6 linked regions of the Zea mays genome follow. The main gene of each other region encodes a partner of the protein of the gene in region 3 in a complex. Links are inferred from orthologs where the notes say so. Each region holds a gene or a part of one and is shown on either strand. Other genes may lie near its edges.

Region 1 (4,952 bases), on a different chromosome or scaffold from region 3:
CCAAAAGGTATACATGCTAACCACTCTGTTTCTTATTCTCTTCTCTCCCCACAACAAAGAATTTATTCCTATTTTGGATCTTTACTATGAGAAGTTTGTTGGTGTCTTGTTGGTATCGCTTGATGTGGAATGAGATTTTCTTAAGAGAAAATTGAAGCCTTACATTTTTTATCTTTGTTGCAGCCATACATCAAGAGAAAGAAGTTGGTGCTAGTCAAGAAGATACAAGCAAATCTAAAGAAGCAGAGGGTGACTGGTTGAAGAAACTTACAGATTTTGCTGGGTAACTTCTTTGATTTGATTTCACTACAATGCCAAAAATCACGTGATAATTATGTCTGTTCATCCTGCTGAAAAATAGGTTTTGTATTGTCTCTTTTTCTTAACTAAAGGGTAATGAGGTAACACCGCGCTGAAAAAAAAATCATTACATTGAGCATATAGGTTTTGTACTATACTTCCCTGTTCTGGACTTCTGGTGGTATAAAGTATAAACTACCTAGTTGTTTATGGCAGCCGTTACATTTTCACGTACTCCTTTATTAAAAGGGAAAATTACAAATTAAGTTTCTTAAAATCTGAACGCCTTTCTCTTCACGCCTGCATTTTAAATTATCCAGCCTGCGGCCGTGGCTTCACGCGTGTTGGCTGATGTATCTCTGAATATTACTGTTCACCGATCGCTGTTGAACGACTTATCACTTTACCTGTTCTTTCACGCACTTCGAAACTGGCGCAGCGGAGCGCCCCGTCCGGTCTAGTGTAGTAAATAGTAATGGGAAGTTGAATGCAGATGCCTCTTTTATTGAAATCTGAACCAACCCAACTTAATCTTGTAGTAATGAACTATATTTTTGGTCACTGCATTACATTTCCGAGTATTCTTTAAAAGGGGAAATTACACTGTAGTAATGGGAGATTTGAATGCAGATGCATAACCTCTGTTGAAATTTGAGCCATCCTAACTGTGTTAGTTGTGTTCGAGAAAAATAAAAGGTTGGCTGAGTTCGAGAGGAAAAAATGTTGATTGATTTAGTTCATCAGACATTTTTGTGATTGGGTTATCTCTTGTATTCTGACCTAGATGTTGAATTCTTTCAGGTCCATTGTTAATGGCGCTGCGAAGTGGCTGAACGACAACCTGTAGGCTGTAAATATTTACTGCAGGATAGAAGATTGTCTTACATGGTGCTGTAGTCCAATCAAAGTTCTTAGATTCATTGGGGGTCCCCACGAGCTCGTATATTCGTTTTATTGGAGAGCTGCAAGATTTTCAGGCTGAGTGGCAACCGAGGGAGTGAAAGTTGTCAACTAATATCGTCGCGGCGTTGGTCCCTTGTCATTCTTGCCAAGCAATTATTTTTATGTAGTTGGAGTCCTTTTCAGTCTGGCAAGCGGCGTAGAAGTCTGAAGCTGTGGGATGCTGATCCCAAACCCCGGGACTAGACAAACACTGTACTTGAGGTTTTGGATTAATCAAATTCACCGATATCGAATTGCAAACTTATCCAACTTACAAGATGCGATGGAACTATTTATTAGAAATACGTTTCGGTGATATCGAATTCTCAGTTTCGAGAAAGGGCTATCACGCCGGCAGTTCACGCGGCTGGATCCGGGCACGGCGACCGCGCAGGCTCCCGCCATGGACGCAGCGCGACAGGCGAGAGAAGCTGTGAAACGGGCTCTACGGAGCCGTGACATTATCCATTCCAGATCGATTGGGCCGCCGCCGCCGCTTTCTCATTTCCGGGCCCAAACCATTATTTAGGCCTCTCGCGAAGTCAGTGGATGGATAAGAAAGGAAAGCGGTGCGAGCGGAGGAGGCGACCGAAGCGCCACTTGCTTGAGTAGCGAAGCGCGAGAGCAATGGCGTCGCTGTCGTGCGCCTCCACGCTGCCCTGGACCCCCGCCTCCTACCCGCGGCCCTCGGCGGGGCGCTGCCTCACGGCCTCTCGCCGGGCTCCGTCGCTGGTCATCGTCGCCCAGGGGAAGGTCAAGAAGTACCGCCAGGTCGGCCCGGGCTTTCCGCGTGTTCTTATGTTCGAGTTCTGTGCTGATTTCATCTTAGCAATCAGTTAATGCACGCGGGTTGCTGAGGGCATCATAACCTGCCGCGTTTTAGTTTTCTTCTCTAAAAAAATTGATGCACCGCCGTCGGTACGTTTGTATATTGTGATCAATAGATACAAATGAAGTTAGCTAGCTTAGCTGTCTCACTGGCAACAGGTAAGATATAGTGGCTCGCACAATTTAGATGCTCCAAGAGTTGTACTACTACTACTACTAACCAGGCTTTTAGGCAGGGGATTTAGATACTAGGGATGAAATACCTTTGATGGGAGCCTTGCCTCACTAGTTGGAGTTCAGTTCATAAGTCGTTCCTTTTGCTGTGTTTGCCTGATTGTACAAGAATGCAACAACGGTGCATCCAGTTAAATTGACAATGTGGTGCTTATCTTGTGTAGCTATTACCGCCACCCTTAGCATTACATGTGATTTTACCTTTCTCCATAAAAAAAACAATTCTTTCCCATAGGTCATATTGACAGACGACATAGAAGAGGTGGGGAAGAAAGGGGATACACTGAAGGTGCGAGCTGGATTCTACCGCAACTTCCTCCTTCCCAAGGGCAAGGCTACACTTCTGACCCCAGAAGTCCTCAAGTAATTGCTACCAGCTCTCGGTTATCCCTCACTTGCTTTGCTTTGTTAGTTATGTCATTTAATCCTCAAGTAATTGCAAAGTCCACACTCTGTCAAATGATTCAGTGGCTGCTGGCAACCGTATGACCTTCTCTGTGGTATGCTTAGTTTGACTCTGAGGTTTGGGACCTAGGCACCTAGCAAAACTAGATTGAGATATGAATCCAATCCATGCACCTTTCTAATAGAATTGCAATGGTCGACACACATACTGTTTGATTCGATGGGTAAGTAAGATTGCGAATGAATTTATTGCCTCTACTTCTCTTCGCAGGGAAATGCAGCTGGAGCAGGAGAGAATAGAAGCTGAGAAGAAGCGGGTAGGAAAAAATATTTTACTCAGTAATAAATGTAGTTGCAATTTAACCTCAGCGACCTTTTTCTTTGTCTGGAGAGTAAACTTCAATTGCAGTTTATCCTTACTTTCCTTATGAAAAGAAAATATAGTGCCTTTATGTCCTCCGTAATTTAAGTCCTAAGCATGATATGTTCATGAAATTCTATCAATGCATTTTTATCAGTTTTTGTTTATAATTATGGCCTTAAGAAGTCCTCTATTTACATAGGTAAAAGAAGACGCGCAACAACTTGCTCGAGTTTTTGAAACCATTGGCGCTTTCAAACTCCCTCGCAAAGGTGGAAAAGGAAAACAGATCTTTGGGAGGCAAGTTCTAAGTTGGACAATCCATTATTTATTCTCTCTTGTCTCAGGCTATCTCTTACAGCTTACCCATCTCCATCTCTCATTTCAAACTCTACTTTGTACACACTGCAATCTATAGTGTCACTATCTGCTGGGTATAGTCTTACTTTCACTTTTCTGACGATATCTTTTATTGTACAGTGTCACGGCACAGGATGTTGTTGACATAATAAAGTCACAACTTAATAGGCAAGTGCATATGCTCCTAACTCCTAGGCAATCTTAATAGCGTTTCTCATCATTATATTGCTTCTCTTACTGCTGGCACGCTGTGTCTTGTAGGGATGTCGACAAGAAGCTGGTGACGGTTCCAGAAATCCGTGAAATCGGAGAGTATGTTGCAGAGATCAAGCTTCACCCAGACGTGACAGCGCGAGTAAGGCTGAATGTCTATGCGAAATGAGCTCAGCAGTTACAGAACCTCGAGTAATGGACTTTGGAGAAGCCTGATGTTTGCCAGGCGAGCTCATTTGCCGTTGTTCTTTCCTTGAGATTTGGCTCTTAGAATTCCGCTGGTCTTGCTCTTACACAGTTGCTTTTGTTTAGTGCAGAGATTTTGCTGCAAGTGCCAGGTGCTGCGGTAGACATGAGGCCTGGTCTGGCCGTGACTTGCCTGGTTTTGATACACAATTCACTGGCTCACTGCGCATCCTATTCCCTACCGTGTGAAGTCAAGTTTTCAACAATTATATCTGTTGATTTTGAGGCGGAAAATATAAATTGTTGTAAAGAACAATTTGTTTGAACTGTAGAGCACTACTTCGCCAAAAACGACCCTTCTTTCTTGTCCTCTAACCTTCCCCACCTCTACGTCTGCATCCACTACAAAAAAAAGGCAAGAAATTTGCTAAGTATGGGGCTCCATAGAGCGTTATTCAGATTGGAACACCAACGTACTTGACACATGAACTGCGTTTCTTTTAGCCAAAGTCTGGGCGTCACCAGCGATCTGATACAGATTCACGCAAACCAACTGTATTCATCTCAACATCCACGTTCTACAAAAATGACAGTTTCACATCGTTGTCTAAAAATGCAATGACTCCCGAATACCAGTACAACTCCTCGCTTCACCCTTTACAAAAATCCTTCTGCTTCTGCTAAATGAACTAGCATCATAACTGAACAGCCAGCATTGCAGGCAAGGGGGCATTGCACAGAGCTAGAAATAGCCTTTCCGCTTACGCCCGGTGTACTTCGTGTCGGCGGGCACATCATGTCCTCTTCTTCTCATCTGCTCCTTTTTCCTCAGGAGCCAATCCTTGCCTTTGCCATTCTTTTTCGTTTTCTGCCGCTTCTTCGGCCTATTCCTTTCATATATTCCCACCTGCATTTCAAGATAAATTTTCATCCAGTGCTGGCATAATACTGATACACATCCACAATCATACGGTAAGAGCATAAGATATGGGAGTAAAAAACAAGAAACTATGACACTGCAAAGATTCGTGATCAAGCATAAAGAGTCAGTATTTAACTACTGCATCCAAGACAACGGCAGTGTCCATACTTTATAGCATTGCTGCATTAGACGACTACTAAT
Region 2 (4,829 bases), on a different chromosome or scaffold from region 3:
TGGCGGTCACACCTAAAACGCGTATGACTGGTGCACAAGTCAGCATGACTATATTTGGGAGAGAGAGAAGGGGAGGGTTATGAGCATGCATCAGAAATTTAAAACCATAATATGTATCAAGGTATAATATATATATTGTGTCCTCCATTGACACATCATTTAATGTTTGGCAAGGATGGCCGCAGAAACACTTCACATACTCAACAACAACAACAACAAAGTCTTTTAGTTCCAAGCAAGTTAGGGTAGGCTAGAGTAGTAGAGTTAAAACCCAACAAAACACATAAGTCAAGGTTTGGACACATGAATAGGTATTTTCCATGCACTCCTATTCAAAGCTATATCTTTTCACATACTTAATATAAAAGTGAAACTCAACACATCTTCCAAATGAATAACAACATACATGTCAGTAGTCCTTAGTCCATTTTGAGTTTTTGGTACTTCCACCCTTACTTCTAAATAAAATAATCTGAACTATGAAACTGGACCAAATTTTAAGTCATATCCCTGAATCAACTGCCTCACTACTTTTGCTAGTTATTATTGTCAATGCTTTATGTTGTTATCTAGGGTGAATCGGGATTTCATAATATTATTAGAGTAAATTACACTAGTCCCTAACCTACCGCACGATTCTCATTTAGATCCCCAAACTATGAAATTGCATATCTAGGTCCCTAAACTATTTAAGTATCCCATCCCGGTGCAAAACAGTCACATCACAGTTCATTAGCTAACATTGCACTCTAGCGTGGAACCGACATGCATGTCCATAACTCATAATTACAAGGATGATACCTAAACTATCATTGGATTCTTACAAAAGTCTCAAACTATAAAATTTGGATTAGGATTGTAGTACTTTAATAGGTTAGGGACCTAGATGAGTAGTTTTATAGTTTGGGACCTAGCTGAGAATCCTATGATAGTTTAGACAGCCCTTGTAACTATGAACTATGGACCCATATGTCAGCTTCACGCTGGAGTGCCACGTCAGTTGATGGACTGTGATGTGGTTATTTTGGATCAAGATATGATACTTATATAGTTTAGGGACCTAGATATGCAATTTCATAGCTTGGGACCCAAATGAGAATTACATAATAGTTTAGGGACCGCCAGTGTAGTTTACTCATATTATTACCACTGATAACGCTTCATATCTTCCAACATGTGTCTCATCTAGTTTCCTCGGCGATCAGTAAAACCAACTATTTCAACTTCCTGAACTCTTGCTATGCACAATTAAATTACAAACATGTGTTCAATAAAAACACCATGCCTGAACCTTGAATTATCGGAGTACAGGAAAGTAAATGCAACTGATAAAGGTAGGAAGTTACTTGTACATGAATCCTAGAAGTCAGTAAATACTACAAGGGCATGAAGTTTTAAATCTTGTCACAGTGCCCAGACTAAGCAATGAAGACAAACGATTTAGAATATCGATAAAAAAACTGAGGCAAACAAAATCTGTATTGACTTCCTCAATACCTGAGTAATATTTGAAGAAACAGTGCCAGCTTTGGGGTTAGGCATCAGTCCTCTTGGTCCTAGAATCTTACCTAAGCCCGCAACCTGAAAAGTAAACAGAAATAACTCAGGCTGATAATCATTTAAAGGGGAGCCCACATTGAAAGTTTCTACGAACATGTCAAATAATGCAACAAATATATACAGAACTTTGGACATTTAGTTTAGCATTAGTTATCAAAGAATGAAACATCTCACACATGTATTCTTGTATTCCGAAATTAGATTGGCATAGCCAATCTATTTTATCTATAGAAAACAAAAAAATTAACAGTTTACATGGTAAGACACTTAGGACCTATAGTAAGCACAACTAAATATTTCATTTCAAATTTTGTGGTAGTATCCAACAGTAAATTGAAATGAAGGCAGAACTGTTAATAGCTCATACCTTAGGCATCATATCAGGTGATGCAATCAATTTGTCAAACTCCATAAATCCTCCTTTTATTTGTTCAATCAAATCTTCTCCACCTACGATATCAGCTCCGGCAGCTCTAGCTTCATCTATCTTCTCACCTGTGAGGTCAGAAAATAACTATTAATGCATATAATGACCATGATTATTTCAACTACTGGTGCTACCATCTTTATGATAATGACAAGAAAAACATGACTATCTTTCACAAAGGATATGAAAGAGAAGTTTCAGTCATTCAACAAGGGTTTGCTAAGTGGACAGCACAAAAATAGCACCATCCCAACTCCCAAGTGACTTCTTGTAAAAAACAAAGAAGTAGAAACATCATGAACATAATAAACTGATTGTTAAATTCTTCTACCAAGATGCCAAAGATGAATTAACTTTGTCCAATCCAATATGTTGCATTTGAACTCTGAAAGAAGCCATGGTACTTTAAGAAGAAAAAAAATACAAAATTAACCAATCGGGTCATCAGCACACAATGTTTGCATAAAAATAAAGACAAGCGTGTTTCAGATTAAACCCATAGTCACACATGAGGCAAGGCAATAGTGTCAAACAGAACAATCACACATATGACCCACTAGCACAGTGAATTCAGTTTGTACTAACTATCGCTCAACAGGATTTCGTTGTGTTTCAATCACCGCCCACCTTGTGTGAGAACCGCAATCTTCACCGACTGGCCTGTTCCCTTGGGCAAATTCACCTGTGGTCACCACGACCAGCACAAATTAACGAACGCAACAGGGCACAAGCAACCAAAAAGAGAAGGCCAGAAAAGAAGAAACAATACCGTGGCCCGGAGCTGCTGGTCATTGTACTTGGGGTCGAGATTCATGCGGAAGTGCGCCTCCGCTGACTCAACAAACTTGGCACTGGACATCTGCTTCATCAACGAGATGGCGGTGGGCACGTCGTAGTCCTTCTTGCTCTCCCTCAGCTTCTGTATCTCGAGGAACCTCTTCGACCTCGTCTGCGCACCATCAAAACTAGCACAGCATCACCGGCCGTACACAAGCAAGCAAGCCACAGGAACCATATACGGAGGGTGGGGTATTCGGCGATATGCGTACGCGGTCGCGCTTAAGCAGTAGCGCGGCCTTGCCGGTGCGCGGGCGCGTGGGGGCCGTGAACGCGGGGCCGCGCCCGCCCTCATACCCGTCGTCGTCGTCGTACTGGCCCTGCTGGTCGACCTCCGCCTCCTCTTCGAGCACGGCCCCCTGCGGGTCGGCGATGGCGGCCGCGGCGGGGCGGCGGAACGCGAGGAGGAGCCGCGGGTACGCACGCAGCGACGGCACGGAGGAGGGGAACAGCAGCGCGTTTGACGAGGCCGGCGCCGTGCTGCTGGCCGCCGGCGCGAGGAGGGAGGAGGAGGCGGTGGCCGCGGCGGCTGTGGCCATGGTGGAGGCCGGGGAGGATGGCGCAGCAGATAAGAGGGAGTGGAGGGATAGAAAGAGAAGCCGAAGTGGCAGCGCGGGTTGGTTATAGCCGAAAGATCTCGGCCTGGGTGTTCATCGGATAGGGCTGGTCGTGGGCGGGCTCGCGGTCGCAGCCTCGCAGGGGCAGGGATGACGGGCGCCGCGCCTGGAAAACTCCTCCCCCCTGATTCCAGTGATTTTGGCTCAACCGAGACGCCCGGTCACCTGCCTGATCTTGGTTGGGAGTTGGGACGAGCGGGTGTACGAGTGTGCGATCGTGTCGTGTCCGCGCGGGCGACGGGTAAGGAGAAACACGGCGAGTTGGCTGGGCCGAGACGCGCGCAGGTGTTCGGAGCTCCTGATTTGGCTCAGCCCCGAGGACCGAGAGCCATGCGGATGCGCGCGAGGCAGCCGGACAGGTGTGTGGTCGCGGTTCGCGTGTGGGTTCGAGCGGCAGCGACGAGGGACGCATGTGTGGCTGTGGCTGCCAGCCTGCGACTGCGAACTGTTTGTGTGTGGCCCTTGACTCTACTCTATATCTATACTACTATATTATTTAGATTATCCACCAAACAAATTCAGATAGCTGGATAACTCTATCACCCTTACTCAAATTCAATGATGAACAATATTATCTAGATCATCTATCATTTGTCATGTCACCCTTCCCTTTCCCACAATCTGTCGCCTCCAACCTCTCCCTCCCTCGCGTCCCCGTCGCCCTCTCCCCTTCACTCGTGCCTCCACCGTCAATTCCTCCTATAGTTCTGAGGCCTATGTTGTAATACATTGGTAGTGTGACCATAACATGTGGTTTTCTCACTTTGTAATCAGACTTTAGGTTGTTTCAATGGCACACCACTCCACATACATACAATGAACTTTAGAAAGTGCAGGAGCTCCAACTTTTTCCCCTGCTGCCACCATGTAGAGGGAGAGAGAGAAAATTATCTCATATATCACTACACTTTTAATATAGAATTTTCTTTGTGCGTCGCCATGTGTCTCTCACGCGTGAGTAGGGGTGGTAATGGGCTATAAACTTTATACTGCAAATTTTAAGGATCGAATCGGATTAGGGTCGGGCTCTATTCTTATTCATTTTTGAACTAATATTATTTAAGGGCCTTAACTTTTGTGAAGAGGCATTTGGATCGTGATCCATTACCACCTCTACGCGTGAGCGCCCGTGTCCGTCCAACGCGGCAGGGCTCCTACCACTATGGCACACATCCATTTGTGGTACATAAAGGAGAGATTATATATATCTATACACTATAATTTAAAAAAAAAATATAATCATGTTTGAATATATATATATATAATTTAAGGAAATGCAACATATATGATATACAAAAACTGTAGCAATATTGAGAGCACCTAGAAAGGGGTGAATAGGTGATCCTGTAAAATTCAACACTAATAGCCACAAAACTTAGTTGTTAAAG
Region 3 (4,889 bases):
AACTCAGAAGAAAATATCACACCTCGCCACCCAAGAAAATTGGTTATGAAAACTGTCGATCAATTTCGTATATCCAGATGGCAGGCCGAACATTGAAACAATCTGCCACTTCATACCATACGAGGTCAAAATTACAAACTTCAACTGGAAAATAAAGATTTTAGGTTGATTTAAACCGTACCATATTACATGACTACTCATTGACAGAAATTTGACTGAATTTCATGCATTGGTAAACATCAAAATTACAAAGAGGATTTATACTCCCCCCCCCCCCCTCCCCGATCAGAGGCATGGTTATGAGGATAGCATTCCAAACAAAGGGCAAAACCTTCTGGGGAGGAATTCGCCACTGCATCCTTTTCAGTCGATGAATTCTCTATCCAGTTTTTTGTATTCTTTTATCCCTGATCGGGAGTGGGACAGGTTTTTGAGCCTCGTGCGGATGTTCTGTCCCTTTGTATACCTTGAGGTGGGTAAATAATCTTCTTCCCAGCTGCAAATTGGCAAAAAAGGTGAGCATATAAATGTAAATATAACAAGTATATAGCACATAACAAAACTAAGTTAAATCAAATTTGCCATCAACAAGAAAAATGGAATGGTTAGGGGGGATGCTTCAGATAACAAGATATTTGCCTGCCATAATGTGAGTTTCAGTAAACGCATCCATACTACCAAACAATTGAACTAAGAAGCAATTTGCAAGAAAAAGGTTAATAGGCAATTTTTATGGAGTTCATGCAACACACCTTTGCGAACTTAGAAAAAAAAAGATCGGCAAGATAATTAACTAATTCAATCTGGACTTGTTAATTTTGTTCAATAACAACATTCCCTTGAATTTAGTACTGTGATTTATTCTGAATGTCACGCTTTCACTGGGAGGTACATGCTGATGCATGAGCAATGTTCTGACTGCAATACACTTCAGGGCTTGTTCGTTTCGCCGTTAATCCATGTGGATTGAGTGGTATTGAGTCGGTTTAAATCCATAGCAAGTCAAAATCCATCCCAATCCATCCCAACACACCAATCCACATGGAATTGAAATAACCGAACAAGGCCTCACCATTAACTATAGTAGTTCTCAATCTCAAAAGAAAAAATTCACATCTGCTAACTAATACCAAATTGTAATTTTTGGGACCTTAAAATAAAGGTCACCAGGAAATTTGGTTGTCATTTTCATATTTGGCATACATTATAACATGCGCACTAAAACGAGAAAGAGAACATGTAGACCTGAGGCAATCAGCTAGTAGATGTTTTTTCTTACCCTTCCCTTGGGGAGCATGCCACGAACCGCATGTTCAATGATTCTCTCTGGAATTCTTTTCTGAAGTTGGTCAAAAGTTTCTTCTTTCATCCCTCCAGGCCTTCCGGAGTGCCTCCTATAAAGCTTTTGTGACCGCTTTTTACCAGAAACAGCAACCTTATCTGCATTGACCTATGTGAATAGAAAAGGTTGTTAATGACTCTCAGCATTGTAGTGTAACACAATAATGCATATCATCTACTCCATCTGTTCCAAATTATAAGATGTTTTGGTAATTCTAGATACATAGTTGTTACTAAATATCTGGACATGAATTATGTCTAAGTGCGTAGCAAAAGTAATGGATCCAAAAAAAATCCAAAAAGTCTTATAACTTGGAACTGAGGGAATACGTGGTAATGAGCCTTTAGAGATGCACCAGTCACAAAAGGACTATGCTAACATAAACATTAAACACAACTACAGTTGAAGATTATTTGAGGAAGGTTACTCACCTCAGTACCAAATAATCTGAGGGAAGTAAAGCATGTATACTAAGGCCCTGTTTGGAACCTCTACAGCTAATAGTTAGCTGCTAAAATTAGCTATACAGGTTCCAAACACCCACAACTAATTGTTAGCTAACTCACAGTTAACAATTAGTTCATTAGCTGGCTCAACCCAGCTAACAATTTGTTAGCTGGCTACCTGTTAACTGTAGGGATTCCAAACACTATAGGTATTGAGAGAACGCTTACCACAATAACAAAAGCTCCCATGTCTACACTAGGAGTGTAAGTGGGTTCATTCTTTCCCCTGATATGTACTGCAATGGTGGATGCTAGCCTGCCTAGGATCTTGTCTGTTGCATCAACAACATACCATGTCTTCTCGGTAGTTACATGATCTGCAGCCTTAGGATACCAGGTTGTATTCCATATGTCCTGCAAATTAAATCACTGAATCAGATTTCAGTAGACACAATTACTTGTGGAGTAATTCATTAGAAGAAAGAACAAGGCATAGTACAAACAAACCATTCACTTTGTACCCATAGTATTAGTAACTGATCCTAAACAAGTCACAATTATGAACAGGCTGGTTGGCAACCATCAGTTCACTTTGACTTGCATGTCCAATTAAGCTCATTTTTAATGAATTCTCTCTCACCACAAACAGCCCATGGGTAATTTTGGATATGATGGCACATGGCAGATAACATATATAATGTACGCAGTTCTATTGTAACTTGATTGCCCTTCATCATGCACATAAAAGGATAGTCGAAGCCTCTGAGGTGGATTAAGATGGCCACGGTGAAACATGAACAAAATAGGATGGACACTGTCAGTCCAGGGTTACAATCCTGCAAAACGAGCTGTGAAAATGTGCACATTGTTTCAAGAGAGGAAGAGAGAGCGTCGTACGGGGCCGCAGAGCTCGTCTCCCTCGAACATGAAGCGCTGCTCGCGGGGCACGAGCGCGGCGAGCGGCTGCCTCTTCTGCTTGTCGCTCTTCTCGCACCGCACGGCCAGTCCCACCGGGGCGGCCCGGCGCGGCCCCACGGACGCGGTCCGGGTCAGGCGGCGGTGGTAGTGGCGCGGGGCGAAGGCGGAGGAGAGCAACGTATGGGAGGCGACGGCCGTAGCCATTGCGGCACGGCGAGCGAGCGGCAACAGGAGGAGGATGTGCAGACGGTTGGTTCAGTGGGACGCGGCCATTTTTAGGCGCAGTGGGGAGCGTCAAGCGGATAAGGGGATAGGAGACAAAGAACAGGGAAAGGTTAACAAGAACATATGGGCTTCATGGGCTCAGAACGAAATGCAGATTTGGCCCATTACGACACCTTATCAGCTCATCTGAGATTTAAACGCTTCCTTTGAAACTCTTCCCAAACTCAGAATAATGGCGGTTCCATAATTCCATCTAAAAAAAAGAAATTCAATGTATTACTATTGGGCAAAGGGAGCTGCATTAACAAAATATAGCTTCAGACAGGACCATATTTTTTTCAAACGATTCCGCTGTTCAAGTACCAATTAGAAACATCGGTAATCAGAGAAATTCTCGAGTCCAAATAAAATGACGGGAACAGAACTTCCATTGCTGCTAGTTTCCGCGACAACCATCAGCAGCAGAAGCCGAATTAATTGATAACGGACACCATTTTCACATGTTCCATCAGGAAACGGAAAGGAGGCAGAAAAGTGTTCATTCTCTTCTAACCAAAGAAAGCATATCTTTTACATATATAGTGGCAACATCGTGTGATTGCGTTGCAGTGAAGCAACAGCTTAACGTGTTTCTGGTTCAGATCCAGGATTCCCTCGCAGGAAGAACGCAAAGATGATAATATACAACAACAAAATTGTGAACCAGAGATGTCGAGTATCGACGATTAGAACCATATGTAAATCAATGGTTAGTTGGCTACCAGCAAATGAACTGGGAGGAAGGTTACGAAGTAGTAGAAGACCCTGAATTTGTCTGTGTAAGAGGTTTTACTTTCCTTGTGTGACCCAAACTATTCACAAGATCCCTGCGAGTGCATACAGGAAACATGCTCAATCCATGCATGTTTAGCCGCCACAAAACGTATGGAAAACTGAGCTGATCACGAGATGTGAAGCGAACCACTTCATTAAACCAAGCACACATGAAATGGTTCGTTGCAGGGGTGAGTTCCCTCACAATAACAGAGGCTTCGGCTAGAGCTGAAAAATCAAACGGGTAAATTCATTATAACAGTTCGGAAAACATATACAGAGATATTCCACAGGAGCAAAAGAACAATTGTTTGAGAAAGATTAACAGACTGACCTTTCAGTCCGTGCAATCTTTTTGTGTCCGGCATTCCATCTTGACGATACCGAGTCAATTGTACCTCTACCTCTTCAGGGGTAGCCTTGTGCTTTTGAACAATAGCTTTCCCCTCATCATATATGTTACTCCGTGCTCCATGTTCAGAGATAGCAAATGTAGAGTTTGTCCTCCAAAGAAGAGCTTCAAGCATTCCTATAGGATCTCTTCGTAATTGGTATTTAGAGTCAACCCATATAGAGTACCTTGCCTCTGTGAAAAGGCGATGAGTCAACATCTGCAAAAATCATGTTAAGTGATTTAGTATCTGAACACACTTTGTTTCCCAATCCTAAAAATAAAATATCAGGCTTAGGAAAGTGAGAATGAGAATTTCTATCATGACAAATTGGTACAGAGGATAGATTATGACATCTTAAGATTTCTACCTTTGGTATCTTCCCATTTAATCGTTGATCTACAAAAGGGAGGCTCCTGACAACAATGATCCGCCACCTTCCTATCATGCTATCATCACCAATTACCTTTCCTTCAGCTTCCTGAGCTGCTAGTGTCACTTCATCCCAGAAAGCAACATAGCAAACCTGCTTTAACATAAGACCATGCGAACTTGTATAATCATCAAATGATGGCTTACTCTGACATTCAATTCTGAAAATAATGGAGAATGCAATACCCTGCCAATAGAAGAATTGGCCATTCCAATAGGTTGATATAGATCATCCCCACCACCAAATGCACAGGTAGACACAACAACTTTACAGGCTCTCATGTATCTCCTGTCCTCCTCAGAAATTTTGAAGCCACCATT
Region 4 (4,360 bases), on a different chromosome or scaffold from region 3:
TGATACGATATTCATTTATGTCTTAAGTATTGAACTGTATAATTCTGTTTGTGCAGGTAAATACTATCTTATGGATTCAGGTTATCCAAATAGAAAGGGGTACCTTGCACCTTATAAGGCTCAGAAGTATCACATTGCAGAATGACAAAATGCGAGGCAACCTATTAGGAGCAAAGAAGTATTCAACTATGCACACTCGTCGCTATGCAATGTTATAGAGCGATCTTTTGGTGTGCTTAAAATGAAGTGGAGAATTCTGTTAAGTCTCCCTTCATTTTCGCTTAAGAAAAAATCCAAGATAATTATTGCATGTATGACATTGCATAACTTCATTAGAGACAGTGCTCTACACGATAGAGACTTTGATGAACTAGGACCTAATAGCCTTGGTCATGATGTATCTGTAGGTGAGAGTAGTAGTATCACATCTGATGAGTTAGACATGAGTGCATTTCGAGATGCAATTGCTAATGCATTAGTGCCGTAGTTAAATATGTAAATGTAACAGTAGTTATGTTGTAATGAACTCCACTAATTATATGTAATGACCTTTTGTTGGTTCGGTGTTAATGTGTATAGTTTCTTCAAACAGAATCTGCAATCTGAGAATCTGTGTATCCAAACACCTAGATTCTAACGAACAGCTTTTCCGCACAGCTGGCGAACCAAACACCTAAATTCTAACCACCAGCTTTTCAGAAAAGCTATTCAGAAAAAAGCCGAACCAAACACGCCCTACGTGGAGTGGTCTAGGAAGTTGGAATAGACCCCCACTGTGACTCTAAAGCACAACTACCCCACAAAAAGTACAAGTAGAACATATCCATTTATCTAAACAACACATGTAAATATGACCTTTATAGATCATGTGGTCTTACAATTAAGGAAGAAAAAGTGTAACAAGGGCTGTGAAAAAGAGAAACACCACACAGGAAACTTATCAGCAGTCCGCGCTGACCTCAGAGTTTTCATCAACAGCAGCTAGTACCAACTGAGGCTCAGCGGCGCCCTCCGCTCTCGCCTTCTTCCGTTCACGCCGCATGCGGAAGTACTCTCTCTTCCTTGCTCTGTAACTGTTTGGGTTTTCAGGCTCCTTCTCATATGGGTAAACACTAACCTATGAAAGGAGAGGTAGTGAGATGAGCATATATCTGGTGTGCAACCAGATCTCAGTCAGATGCAAGTAAAAGCAGATTTCAGTATGTAGTAACTAAGATACAGCTAACCTTTTTCTTGTCCGGCCCATACTTCTCAAACTTGACGAGTCCATCTATCAAAGAAAAGAGTGTGTGATCCTTGCCCATTCCAACGTTATTTCCAGGATAGACCTGAAATGTCCAAAAGATTTTATTTTAAGAAAAAACTTAAAAACGGCAAGGAACAGACAGACCACAAAACGGGGACCAAAACGAACTCTATACAAGGGACACGATGGTATAAACCATGTAGTATCCATAATATATAAACATCTTAAATATTTGAAGCGCGCTGGTAAGTAGGACGGACCAACCAAATCGTAAGACATGTAAGTTCATGAAATATCTTTTACAAGGATTGACCGACCATCTTACAGTATGCCTAATATTGAACAGCTATGTCTGACCATGTGTGCAGAGTAAGGTGGGTGTTTAGTTCAAAATTTGTTGGATTATATAACCTGGGCAGATTATAATCCCAAACAAACACCCCCCTAAGTCACCACCAGTTGGCTCCATAGGGCATTGAGGTTAGTACGTTACATTCCCCAGCGAGGTTTGTGTGTGCACTTTCCCCTCCCGTTATCTGATGTATGCAAGAAACTGCAATCTTTTCTTTCCTGCTTTTGCAGAGTGGTAAACTATGGAAAATGCAGATATGCACAATGGCAGCATACATTCCAACGTAACATGTGCAATGGCAAGCATTCTAGGTACATCGTAAGATTCTAGCATTCGCAGTCCGTAATCCGTATGAAGGTACTGGTCGGTGGTTAATATGCTTAACCTGCATCAGCAGCAGCAGCAGCAGGTGAGCAGCAAGCAAACGCTAGGCAGAGAGAGCTATGTCGCCCAGCAGAGCCAGTCAACGAGGTACCATAATCCACGCAAGCAAGAGCCTAGGCTGTCTTACTAACCCAAAGCAAACCAGTAACAGGTAAGGGAAGCGAAGGGAGCAAGAGGGGGGCAGGACCCTGGTGCCGCGCTGGCGGATGATGATGGCCCCGGGCTTGGCGAGCTGGTCGCCGTATATCTTGACCCCGAGGCGCTGGCCCTTGGAGTCGCGGCCGTTCTTGGTGCTCCCGGCCCCCTTCTTGTGCGCCATCTGGATGGTGAGCCGCCGCGCCGGCACCGGCACCGGCACGCCCGCTGCGCCGCCGACGGAGAGCGAGGCGCGGTCGCAGCGCGGGAAGGAGGAGGTGGTGGTGGTGGGCGCCAGGGAGAGGCCCTTGAAGGCCCCCGCCAGGGCGAACGCCATGGAGGCCATGGGCCGCTGGAGCGGAGGGAGGCAACGTGGCAGCTTGGGAAGAAGACGGGGGAAGAGAGCAGATGAGGCGGTGAGGTACAGAGGTGTGGGCGCTGGTGATAACGGAGTGGAGAAGGGATGCAGTCGGGAGACGTGGGCTCGTTCGTGGTTGGCCCAGTGTTTTGGGTCCTGGAGTTTTTGGGCCTTACTTGCAGATGGGCCTCGTGGTGCTTGCAGAGTGTCTGGCCGAATTGGAAGGGAGGGAAATGGTGTTATGCTCCTGGCCGGTTTTGGTCCTTGTAGTTTTAGGCAAGGCAACACAGGATTCACGAAGGAATCATTCAGGGGGAAAACAAAATGATCAGTGTGGTGGTGTTTGGTTCATGATATGTAACGTAAGTGGTAACGATAATGATTCACATTCAAGTACCAACGATAATAAGTCTGAATAGGCTCAGTTAGAGTTAAACAAACATGATATGTGAACCAAAAGGGCATCATCTTGTTCCTCCCTCCGGAGCTGCACAGAGAGACGCTGAATGGCCACAGCTAGCTAGCGTCGGCACGTGGGGAGATAGCCGGGGAAGCTAGCTAGAGTGACAGGCAGGCTTGTTGTGGAGCAAGAGCAAGAGCAAGAGAAGCAGTAGGCATGATGATGGGCTTGACCGGCGGCAACGGCAAAGCTGGAGCCGGAAGAAGAGGAGACGACCGACACATGGCATGATTAGGATCCTTGACGAAAGCGCGGGAGATGCAGAGCGTTTGGGGGTCCAAGTTAATCATGGCCCAGACCAGACCACACAAGCAAACAGGGCCCTACCACCACCACCACCACCCACTAATAATCTCGTGTTCTCCAGAGTCCAGACGCTCCATCCGCTCACTCGCTGCAGTTTGCACTGTTTACTCCTCCGTCTCCGTGTGCGTTAGATTTCCGGCGGCACTAGGGATGCCAGAAATTTCAAAGAGGCAGCAGCGCACGGCGCTCACAGGCTGCTGCTACTACTTGTACTAGCAGCAGTCACCGCACCGCACGCACCGTCAGCAGGGGGACGGAGAGATGACATTGACCGCCGGCGATCATTGCCTCGTCTGACGATTCGCCGGCGACACCCACACCCGCACCCCACCCCGGCCGGACCCGACCGACACAACGCATTTCCTCTATCTTTTTCCCACTCTTGTTTATTTGTGACAAATTATAGCGTGCTTGCGGTTGTAAAATGTTAGTCCATATCGATCTTTGCCACTGCACGGTGAATAGTTTGGAACTGAAAAGGACACGAAAAGGCCAAGCAAGCAGGCAGGCTGGGTCTAAACGAGAATGATGGGGAGGGTTAGATAAAACCCAAGATCATATCAGCCGTGACTGTAAAAAAAGAGAAGGATTGAGAGAGAGAGAGAGAGACGCCGCGACCGACCGGCCATGATGGTGATTGGTGAATGTGAATGTGAATGTGATCCCTTCCCCATGAGTGACAGGTTTTGGTACCTTTTTTTCTTCTGGAACTGCCGTTGCTCCAGCCTCCTCCGGGTTTGGTGTGTGTGTCGGCAACGGTGCGTCAGTCACTCAGTCTCACACAATTTTGTAATGCACGCCAATGCATGCTAGTTCGGTTGTTGCGCTCTACTAGTTGTTTTCTCCCCGGCCCCGGCACCGAGACTTGACTCAAACCATCGTTTTGAATTCCTAACCGAGTTTAGTTTTCTTAACATAAACATGTACGTACGTACGTGTTGTTGGCATCGGGTTGTGCTTGAGCGGACTCCTCGCTCAGATTTGCTGGGCCCTTCGAACTCTATTTTTTTTGTGCCTGGATTGGAGGTCGAGTGCGAGATTGGTTGGGTGTTTAGAGAGATCGAGCACTAGCGTGCACTAGTGTATTAGCTAGCGGAGCTAGGATCGGTGGTAGAGTGT
Region 5 (4,609 bases), on a different chromosome or scaffold from region 3:
TCATCCATGCCGCCGAGTGGTGCACTGCTGATACCTGATGCCGTGTTCATTGAGCCTGAATAACTAGAAAACAATCTGTGTATTTAGGGCTAGTTTGACACCCCATTTTTTCCAAGGGAAAATGAACTAAATTTTCTTAGGAAAATAGAAAATTCCTTGGAAAAATAGAATTGTCAAACTTGCCCCTAGAAGAAAGAGGACCTAGTTTTTTTCCCTTCCGAGCAAAAGTTGTCTACACTAAGCAACGAATGCTAACTTTCTGCCACAAAATTTGTGCCATGGCCGCGTCAAGCACTCGTATGTTGTCCTCTCACACACAATTCATGAGCAAGGAATGATCCATGTGCCTGGAATTCTTCTCATCAGTGGCATGGATCATTTTTCCATTTGTTGATACATATAAGGGCCAGTTTGGAAACTTAAATCCCCTCTTAGAATACTAGTTACATGCTTTTGTTGAAGGGATTTAAGTTTCCCCTCTATATAGCTTAATTTCCCCCTCATTCCTCAGGAATCCTGAGGGGATTTAAGTTTCCAAACTAGTCCTAAAAGCAGCATGGTGCGTTGACGTGGAAATTAGAAACAACTAGTTACATGCTTTTGTTGAAGCATTGTGGAGGAACTTCATCCAGTGTGCTATGATCAAATGTAGCGTGATTCGCTACACCGATGAATGATCAATGTTCACATTTGATGATAGAGGTCGATGCTTGTGTTGTGTCATTGTTTCGGGAGATGAAATAGAATGTACAAGGGAAATGTATTACTTGCAGAGCATCTCATTTCACCAATCAAAGGTTGTGTAGAATTGTGCATAATCTGGTTTAAAATAGATGGTCGTACTATTAAGATAGTCAACATTGTTTCCATATCTGTCATCTAGAGCCACTTGAGTGATCTAACTTTGCATATGTTGCTAGGATCAAGTGGTGGATAAAGTTTGAGATAAAAAACCTTTGAAAATGCTAACTAAGTCTTAAAGGTGTTGATCATCACGTGGGAAATCATTTGGAGTTAACTTTCTTTGTAAAAAAAGGTTTTCGATATTCTCCTAACCAAGGGTTGTGTCTTTGGATTTGAATTCTGGATTAGTCCATTTTGTTCTGAATCAATTATTAAAGTGGCTATCGTAGCCCTTTAAATAAAATTTCCGAAATGTCTAATATCATCGAAGTCAGAGTTTGGATGAAGAAGTTATGAACATTTTTAGTTGAGCCGGTGTGTCTTGCTCAGTAATAAGCATATGCTAAAAGCAAGAGAAGAGTACATCGCAAAGAAATTCTATGCAGAGCCGCTATCAGATTCACCAGCACCAGCTTTTTTCTTGGCAAAGTACTCTTCTGCTCGGGCTTGGTTCTTTAGATAATTTTGTGGAAGCCATTTCTTTCGTTTAGGTAACAGAGTTAGGGAACAACCAGCTGCCTCAAGCTTCTCTTTAGCTGAAGCTGAAAACGCTCCAGCCTTGATATTCAACTTAACTGATACATCCCCATCTCCTAAGATCTACAAACAGGTGAACAACAAGTGATCATGAAGGTAAGACAAAATATGATTGCAAAAACTAACAGGTGGCACATGCCACTTCATGTTTATGTTAGCAGATATGGAAGTTTGTAGTTACTCTAGAATATATTGTAAATCCAATGAACAACCTATGGGAACATTGCCAAATTGTACAAACAAAGCTATTCAACACTTCAAGTGGTGCTCATCTAACAGAAACAACCAAAAAAACTCGATCCCGTATTGCATGTTCTAATAGATGACTCTAACTCAAGTGGATAAACTTGGTACCTAACATTATCACAGGCTAATTCAGAATCGATACAACAACCTATAAGAAGTAAAAAAGTAAGAATACTGGCCACTCAATCTAACGACAAATCACTAAACACTTCGATTCTTGCTTCAAATCTGGGGTACAATAAGGTTGCCTTAAAGAGAACATGTCCTCACTGGCCAAGACCTAAGCCAAACCCTTGAATATGAAGTCATTCATATTTTCGAACGTGTCAAGTTCTATGTCACAAATACCAGTCCACAAAACAAGTTTTATTGAAACAACCAAAGGTTAATCATCAAAAGATTTACCTTCAGCGGCAGCTTCCTTTCCCTGCCTGATGGATTGATCAGACCCCGTGATTTCAGGCTTTCCAGTGATATTTCGTCACCATCTTTGAATCCGCCGCGCACTATGTCTTTTAAATTGAATGGCACATACTTCGGCAGGCCAATGTGCATCCCTGAAAAGCCATGGTGGAACTCACATCAGGCAACTTCTCAATCACTTGCATTTCTGCATTCCTTGTAACCTTGATGGGCTCTCACGAGTAACAACACAATGCATAGTTCAATTAGTTATGCGCCAGCCTGGTGTGAATTTAATCACGGATGGGCAATGCCGAAGTGGGGGTGTGAGACAAGCATCTGTCTGAACTAGAGCTTAGCGAGTTGCTTCGATTGAGTGCATTAGGGGAAGCTTCGGTTTAACTGAAGCAACTCACCGCCGGCAATGCCCCGTAGCTTGGGGAGACGGCGGTAGAGCGGCATCTGCCCTCCCTCGAACCCGCGCCGGACGCCGGGCCCCGAGCGCGATTTCTGCCCGCGCATACCGAACCCGCAGCTCGCGCCCTGGCCTGCAGCAATACCGCGTCCCTTACGCTTGGGCCGCCGGCGGGACCCCTTCTGGGGCCCCAAATTGTCGAGCCGGAACTTCTCCACTGGCGCTGCGGCGTCCGAGGCCTCGGCTGCCGCCGCGGCGCTGCTGCAGACGACGGTGACGCGACGGGGCGGGAGCGCGCGGAGCGGGAGGGCGCGGGGCGCGGCCCAGCGGCCGGCTAGGATTCCGGGACCAACGACGGAGGAGGAGGTGAAAGCCGGGATGTGGAGGAAGATGGCGGTGGGAGCGAGGGAGAGGAGGGTGATGGAAGCCATGACTGCCGTTGGAAGGGCTTGCGAATTGCGATTGTGGATAGAAGCGGATAATTGGGGTTTGGGAACGAGATAAGATGGAGACGATGGGCCTCTTCCACTCTTTATTTGGGCCTGTTTTTCAAACAGCCGTGGCCCATTCATGTCAATAATAATAATATACTCGAAAGTTGTATATAAAGAAGAAAAAATCGGTATTTTTCTGAATAGAAGATAGAACTATATCAAAACTTTGATACATTATATTCTCTAACGCTTAGACAAACATAGTTAGCAACTAAAATAATTGAGTAAGGGATAGAACCATACCTTTTTCACATCTTTTCAAAAAGATTTGCAATATGCACAAACTTAAGCAAAAAACTCTGTCCGGCAACCAAACACATCCTTAATTGCTAGAATGTGGGTAGAATAAGTTATTCAAGCAATGTTCAAAAAAGCGCGATTAAGCGCCCGCCTAATCACGATTAGACGCTAAGCGGCATGTTAGCGCTGCGCTTAGGCCCTAGGCGGTGGTTTCCGCGGTGGGCGCGTGTAGGCGGCGCGTGATTTGCGCTATGCGCGCTGAGGCGGAAAGGAGGCGTGTGGAAGCGGGGTTCGGCGCGCGGGGAAAAGGTGAGCACGGAAGCTGCTGCGCGGGAATAGAAAAAAGCTGCTGCGCGGGAATAGAAAGTGAATAGGAGGGAAAGAGGTGGGAGCTGCTGTTGCCCGGGAGAGAGTGAAACAGGCTGGGAGCTGCAGCTGCTGTTGCATGGAAGAGGAGGAAAACAGGGCCGCTGCCAGACTGGTCCTCTTCCCCAGCTGTCCAGGGCCGCCACCGTCGGTTCCTCTTCTCCTTCTGGTCAAGTCGTCCAGGCCACCGGGGTCAGCGCCTCTCTGCTCCTTTTCCCTAGCTATCCAGGCGTGCTCTCCCTCTCCCTCTGCTCTTGCTCTGCTCCTCCATCTCTTCTGTTCTATACTTTTATTCATTATTCCAGGTAAGTACCCCTAATTCCTAGCTAAAACTGTTTTTTCTGTGCAAATATATATATTATATTGTATATTCCTACAAACGCTTAAGCACGATTAATCTACGCCTAAGCTCTCTAGGCGCTAAACAGTGGCCTAACGCCCGCCTAACGCCTAGCGCTTATTGTAACCTTGTATTCAAGTACTTGATGCAGAATTTGAGGGGAGCACACATATCTTGTGTTATTTGAGACTAATGTTTTCTTTAGTGATCTTACATAATCTCAAGGTGGATAGGAGGATTGAGCAAGCTACAAGGGTGTAATTGAGACTTGTCACCTTCATGGTTCACAAAAATGGGTACCTTAGTGAGTACTTTTAATTGGTATCTTAACTGGTGCTTTGATTAGTATTTAGTGTTTTGAGTTTTAAATATATATCATGGAATTGCCCTGATAGCTGCTCATACTTATGATTCTACCTTAATCATAATGCTAAATTGTGCATCCTGCTTCGAGTTAGATGAATGATCTCCCCTAGTGTGATTTATATTGATATCATCTAGAAATTCATCTTATCTAGATGGACTAACATGATAGGAAGTTTTAAATCTAATGCTTTGCAATCTGTGAGATTCATTTGTGGAAAAGGCTAGTTCAAGCAAGTCCTCTCCAGCTTCTCTGCCTAATGATTATGTTAGACAAGAGATAGCTGAAATGTTAGAGTCAAC
Region 6 (5,183 bases), on a different chromosome or scaffold from region 3:
ACTGTAATAAGGATCAGAGTTGTTTAGAACCATGGTGTTGTTGCCTGCGATATCTGTGGCTACATCACCCATGTTTGGCTGCAAAATTTGCATGGCGGTGTCTATGCTCCCCGCAACGCCTGTTGGATGTGTATCCAATGCGGTCAGTAGAGCCATGAAGCCGCCGCTGTACCCAATTGGCGAGGTTGCATCCATGGTCGTGCAAAACCTACATCACGATCAATCACCTAGGTCAATGAACGTGGCCGCCGTACCTTACACGAACCTGAGAAATTGGAGACCGTGGTGCACTGTACCCTTCTCTGGAGGAACGGCTCGGCTCCACTGATGCCGATCGCCGCAGGCCACAAGCAGGAAACGACGACGCAGGCGAGGACGAGCGGTGGAAGCGGTGGCCATGGAATGAGGTGGAAGCGGTGGCCAGGGAACGAAGTGGAAGCGGCGACCAGAATACATGGGGCGGCGGCCAGAAATAAGGATCATAGTTGTTTCTGGCGCACAGGGAGCTTGGGGGGTTCATCAAAGATTCAGAGGGATTCAGGAGAGGTGGAGGGTGTTTTCTAATAAAATGCGGAGTTGGGAGATGCAACCGTTTGATCGAAGATTAGAGACTGAGATGTTATATGTGCACTATTGCTTCATGTGCACAGGTTACTTCGCCTTTGTAATATGCCTTTGTAATATAGGAAATGATATATGTGGATATTTCTGAGGAAGTGAGGACGAGACCGAGAGTAGTGGGTCCAGAGCTGCAAACGAACACGGGCTGCCCGCACATACAAGCCCGTTCAGGGCTTGTTCGGTTACACCAATCCAGAGGGGGATTGGAGGGGATTAAATCCTCTCCTAGTCAAAAATGACTAGGAGGGGATTTAATCCCCTCCAATCCCCCTCTGGATTACTGTAACCGAACATGCCCTCATAGTTTTTCATCCAAAACTCTGACTGGTGAAGCGGAACAAGATCAGCATATGCTGATGCGCATTGACTTGCGTTGCAAGATTTGGTGACAACTGTATAATTTACAGGGGGAAAAACTGGCGTAAATAACAACATAGAGGGATAAACAGGCTCAATTCAACATGCAAGACGCAGTCAGCGTTCAGAGCATTTTGCAGGTTTTCATGCTAAAACTGTTACTCCGAATTTCCTTCCTTAAAAACCTTTACCCACTTCTCAACACTGTCGATTACTTCACCGGTCTTGACCAGGTATCGGACCTTGGTCCCGTCCTCCAGGAATTTGTGGCCAACCCTGCTTACCACACTCTTCTCCTTAGAGTAGAGCATCACATTTGAGCTATGAATGGGGCCTTCAATCTGATCAAAGAAAATTTAAGTCTGATCAAGAGAACGATTAGGCACCTACTAAAACTACAGATATGCTCTTGAAACCAATATGTGCAAAGCATCATGAGAGGCCCAAAAAACAAGTTCAATAGAAATTTTGCTGACCATGACGATTTCACCGGGTTCATCGTCTGTGCCTTTCTTGTGCTTCGACTTCAAGTTCAGGTCCTTCACGATCACCGTGCTGTTGTGCTTGAAAAGGCGTGTGACTTCTCCAACCTTTCCTTTCTCACGGCCTGCAATAACCTGTACCGTGTCCCCGATCCTAACATGCATCTTGTGCAGCACAGGAAGACTGTTTGGTTTACACTTCTTTCGCTCCCATCTCTTAAGCTGCAGTGGAAAGTGAAGTTTTAGGACATTTCACATTATTGGATAAAAAAGGTATCAAATATTTGGACTAAAGATTTTTTTTACTCACTCTCATTTCAATTGGGCATATCTTGACCATAAACCTTACCTGCATATTGAACATATTAAACAGCTTGTCAGAACTTCACATCCTAAAGACATAAGATTCCATTTCAAATCAAAGAGACACTAATCAGATGCTTCTGAGATATGGCATGACTCAAACACAGTGGTTACGATTCATGTTGATCTGATCAAGACACTACAGGATCCAGGGCTCCTCTTTATGTTTGAGTAATACGATATCCCTTAAAATACAGTGGTTCTATCACTTCCTTCAACAGTGATTACTTGACCTCACTATCTATTCTTTACTTGCTTTTGCTTCTTAACAGAAAGGTTTATCCTCATCCGATTCTTATCAGTTGGGAATTTTCCAGGCACAAGTACATACAGGTAAGGCATAATAAAGATGACACAGAAAAGAAAGCAGGGTTCAAATACAAACATCATTATGCTCATAATACACTATTTGGCGCCAAATTTTGTTTCCAGTTAGTCATATGTATTGTGTGATGTGGGGTAATTCAGGCATAAATATATATAAACAAAATCAGTGGCACATTGAGGGCAACATAATTTCTTCAGTTGACATTTTGACCGCTTCAAAAGCAACATAATTTCCTCAGTTAACAAACTAAATAAAGAGTACTCGAACAAATTTTACCACATGAAACACAGCATACTCTCTATTAGCACTAAAAGGCAAACATGTGCATAGTTGTATATGCAAAAAGGACAATACCGGATTACCAATGACAAAGGAAATTCTCTTACTTAAATTAATCCCAATCAGTTAATCTATTTGGCGCACTCAAATCTTACCATTTAAGCTTCCATGCAAGATAAAAATAAAAAAAGAAGGTAGACGAAATTCAATATGGACACGGTCTAAATTTAGTGTGTGTCGTGGAGCAAATAGAAACTTAATGTAATATGAAATCTAATAAGGGCGAGTTTGGCATAGTTCTACTCCAAAACTTTGGGTGAAGTATATCTGCTCCGAAGTGTAGATTGCTTTCTCATAACCAGTGCATTGGATGTGTCTTGATTGTTTTTGAAGGATTTTTCAAAGTAGCAAAAAATGTACTCCAAAAAATTATACTACAACTCTCAAAACTCTATAGAGTTTGCAACTCTAGAATTAGGGTGTTTAGTTGACTTTGTCCAGGTCTTCCTTAAAGTTTTGCTCTAGAGTGATGTCAAACACCCCTAAACATAGTCATATTAGAAGCCTGGTTTGTCATCCTTGAAAATGCACAATTAATAACAATGCAAAGGTAATTTTCCATTTCATTGCATCCAATCCATACAGACTAGCTCCAAAACCGTAATGCAAGCTCGAATGTCCCTAGAACAATTCCATCCGACCGCGCTTTGCAACGCTATCCAGAAACTCCAGAGTAAAATCTTTCACCAGAACAGCTACTTATTATCTACCAAACCATCAGCAGAACGGAACGGAATTGGGAAGCAGGAACAGACCCCAGGCTGCGGCGCGGAGTAGGTGGCGAGCCGGTTGCCCCAGAAGCTGCTGCTGCTCGCCGTCGCCGCGCCTAGCGCGGAGATGGAGAGCGACGCCATGGCGCCCTGCAGCGATGCCATCCCAGCCATCCTCTCGCCGCTCTCCCTCTCTCACTGGACTTGCTCAGCGCCCAAACTGCTCAAAGGATAACGCACGCGGCTTCTTCGAGTTGCCCGGAACCGGAAGAGAGAGGATAACGCGCTCTTGTATTCTGACGCTGGTGGGTTGGGCCTCGTCACTAAATGAGACAGGCCTCAGGTGAGGCACAGATGGGCCTGGAAGACGCTTAGGTGATCCAGTGAGGCCCATGGGTGCTCGTTCTACCGCCGTGAGAGGCTACAGGCTAGGGCCTCGGCTCCACGAGCGAGCTCCGCACGCATCAGCTGATCAGCATCACTGCATCAGCTATCAGGACGACAGGACGAGGACGGCGGGGTCAAGGCTCTCTTTCTCTCTCCCTCCCTCTCTGCGTGTCTCCTCGCACGCTACGCGAGGCCACGCGAGATTGCTTGGGAGATGCGTGCCCGCCTCCAGATTCCCCGTTCCAGCGCCGAGGCGCGCAAGCTACGCGACGGTTGCTGAGGCAAGCGAACCCCCTACTCCAGTTTTTCACTTTGCTGTTGTGTAAAATAAAATTCGCGTTACAGAGACAGAGACAGTTTGGGCGATGGAGGGTAGGTGGATGGCGGTGACATCGAAGCTTTGCGCTTTTGCTGCTGCAGGTCCCATCCTGCACCGAGAAAGGGTGGGATGTCAATCGGATTTCTCTATTGCAAATCATGGTTGCAAGTTAGACGTGTTTACCTCAGATCTTTTTCTCCAGAGACATTGGGTATCTCTTTTCTCATAGTGGACTACATTTCTCCCCCTCGAAGTCAATATCTCTTTCTTCGACTTTTCATTGCTGGCAGTTCTGCGCATGTCCTAAATCCTTGAATCATAGTAGGACATCCATGACAGATCACATAAACAACACGGCCAATACATCACTGGGCAGTTGGGCCTCGGCTCCTATCGCCGTCATCTAACTACCATCTAGGGAATCAGGAATGGTCCTGCCGTGCAAGCAAACCTTTAACGTTCCCCATGGGATAAGCATGTGACTATGCAAATGCCCGACACAAATTATATCTTATTATGGTTAAGAATCTTGTGTTTATTTTTCTCTTTCTCCTTTTCTATTCGCCACATGTGTTGAGATAACTATGCAAATCGTGACATGAAGTTTTGTTTCTATGTGGCGCTACCAAACAAAATGGATAAGGAAATGTGTGGCTTTTTTCCATGATAATTGCGACAGTTTCATTTCGTAGCTATCTGTTCCTCGTGGCCATAGTAATGCTTTGCACTTTGTTAATTTTGTAAGAAAAGAAATGGCATGATCTAATAATAAGGCCTTCTCTCTATGTGGCTAACTGGCAAGGGCTTAGCAATCCTCCCCCTTTCTAACTATAACCTTTTAAGGCATGGATGCTGGAGTGCTGGGCAAAACTCAATCTGTCTGGGCAAAGCTCTACTTGCTTGCGACACTCCAGATGTGGACCATTTTTTTTCACAGGTTTCGGAGCTAGACATGTCAAGTAGTTTCCTTCGGTTGTTGATTAATTTGCCCACTGTGATAGAGATTTTGCACCTTGTGGCCTCCACAAGAGTTACTTAGTAGAGACGCACGTTGGAAGGGCTTCCAAGACAAGTGAAGCTCACTAGCTCAGCGTTCAGTTGCTTCCCACGCTTCACCAACTGAACAAGGTTTATATATATGTCATATGATCCTATCTAGTACTTATTCTTAGACTAAAAACACTATGAGTTAGTGCTACCAACTGAAGGATACGCCATGGCTGTTCTGACACTGGTTAATATCCTTATCAGCTTCGCTGCTTGTGCTGAAGCTCTAA

What was found.
Region 1: 50S ribosomal protein L13, chloroplastic-like (region 3) and 50S ribosomal protein L9 share a complex: the UniProt entries of both Arabidopsis thaliana proteins name them as parts of the 50S ribosomal subunit. The link is inferred for Zea mays from reciprocal best matches to the Arabidopsis thaliana genes emb1473 and RPL9.
Region 2: 50S ribosomal protein L13, chloroplastic-like (region 3) and 50S ribosomal protein L1, chloroplastic-like share a complex: the UniProt entries of both Arabidopsis thaliana proteins name them as parts of the 50S ribosomal subunit. The link is inferred for Zea mays from reciprocal best matches to the Arabidopsis thaliana genes emb1473 and EMB3126.
Region 4: 50S ribosomal protein L13, chloroplastic-like (region 3) and 50S ribosomal protein L27, chloroplastic share a complex: the UniProt entries of both Arabidopsis thaliana proteins name them as parts of the 50S ribosomal subunit. The link is inferred for Zea mays from reciprocal best matches to the Arabidopsis thaliana genes emb1473 and RPL27.
Region 5: 50S ribosomal protein L13, chloroplastic-like (region 3) and 50S ribosomal protein L15, chloroplastic-like precursor share a complex: the UniProt entries of both Arabidopsis thaliana proteins name them as parts of the 50S ribosomal subunit. The link is inferred for Zea mays from reciprocal best matches to the Arabidopsis thaliana genes emb1473 and RPL15.
Region 6: 50S ribosomal protein L13, chloroplastic-like (region 3) and 50S ribosomal protein L24, chloroplastic-like share a complex: the UniProt entries of both Arabidopsis thaliana proteins name them as parts of the 50S ribosomal subunit. The link is inferred for Zea mays from reciprocal best matches to the Arabidopsis thaliana genes emb1473 and RPL24.

What each region holds. Positions count from the first base shown.
Region 1 is NC_050100.1:222,785,176-222,790,127, reverse strand, and holds 50S ribosomal protein L9, read left to right. Parts: upstream 1-1,797; 5' UTR 1,798-1,869; coding exon 1,870-2,013; intron 2,014-2,539; coding exon 2,540-2,667; intron 2,668-2,980; coding exon 2,981-3,026; intron 3,027-3,272; coding exon 3,273-3,370; intron 3,371-3,550; coding exon 3,551-3,598; intron 3,599-3,691; coding exon 3,692-3,812; 3' UTR 3,813-3,869; intron 3,870-3,955; 3' UTR 3,956-4,180; downstream 4,181-4,952. Other genes in the region: Chaperone protein dnaJ A7A, chloroplastic, read left to right, coding at 1-7, 184-283, 1,102-1,147; methyltransferase WBSCR22, read right to left, coding at 4,572-4,736. UniProt on the Arabidopsis thaliana protein: Binds to the 23S rRNA.
Region 2 is NC_050101.1:154,265,056-154,269,884, reverse strand, and holds the start of 50S ribosomal protein L1, chloroplastic-like, read right to left. Parts: upstream 3,419-4,829; 5' UTR 3,364-3,418; coding exon 3,037-3,363; intron 2,937-3,036; coding exon 2,757-2,936; intron 2,670-2,756; coding exon 2,615-2,669; intron 2,056-2,614; coding exon 1,928-2,055; intron 1,582-1,927; coding exon 1,498-1,581; intron 1-1,497. UniProt on the Arabidopsis thaliana protein: This protein binds directly to 23S ribosomal RNA.
Region 3 is NC_050098.1:202,897,056-202,901,944, reverse strand, and holds 50S ribosomal protein L13, chloroplastic-like, read right to left. Parts: upstream 3,017-4,889; 5' UTR 2,911-3,016; coding exon 2,686-2,910; intron 2,203-2,685; coding exon 2,017-2,202; intron 1,451-2,016; coding exon 1,280-1,450; intron 497-1,279; coding exon 380-496; 3' UTR 93-379; downstream 1-92. Other genes in the region: uncharacterized protein LOC100285659, read right to left, coding at 3,716-3,972, 4,079-4,355, 4,507-4,662, 4,755-4,889.
Region 4 is NC_050103.1:167,360,189-167,364,548, forward strand, and holds 50S ribosomal protein L27, chloroplastic, read right to left. Parts: upstream 2,526-4,360; 5' UTR 2,464-2,525; coding exon 2,170-2,463; intron 1,329-2,169; coding exon 1,227-1,328; intron 1,118-1,226; coding exon 941-1,117; 3' UTR 813-940; downstream 1-812.
Region 5 is NC_050096.1:27,446,825-27,451,433, reverse strand, and holds 50S ribosomal protein L15, chloroplastic-like precursor, read right to left. Parts: upstream 2,936-4,609; 5' UTR 2,935-2,935; coding exon 2,505-2,934; intron 2,244-2,504; coding exon 2,092-2,243; intron 1,504-2,091; coding exon 1,282-1,503; 3' UTR 1,197-1,281; downstream 1-1,196.
Region 6 is NC_050100.1:50,135,018-50,140,200, forward strand, and holds 50S ribosomal protein L24, chloroplastic-like, read right to left. Parts: upstream 3,432-5,183; 5' UTR 3,375-3,431; coding exon 3,246-3,374; intron 1,810-3,245; coding exon 1,771-1,809; intron 1,683-1,770; coding exon 1,455-1,682; intron 1,320-1,454; coding exon 1,137-1,319; 3' UTR 951-1,136; downstream 1-950. Other genes in the region: beta-glucosidase 25-like, read left to right, coding at 5,123-5,183. UniProt on the Arabidopsis thaliana protein: One of two assembly initiator proteins, it binds directly to the 5'-end of the 23S rRNA, where it nucleates assembly of the 50S subunit. Required for optimal plastid performance in terms of photosynthesis and growth.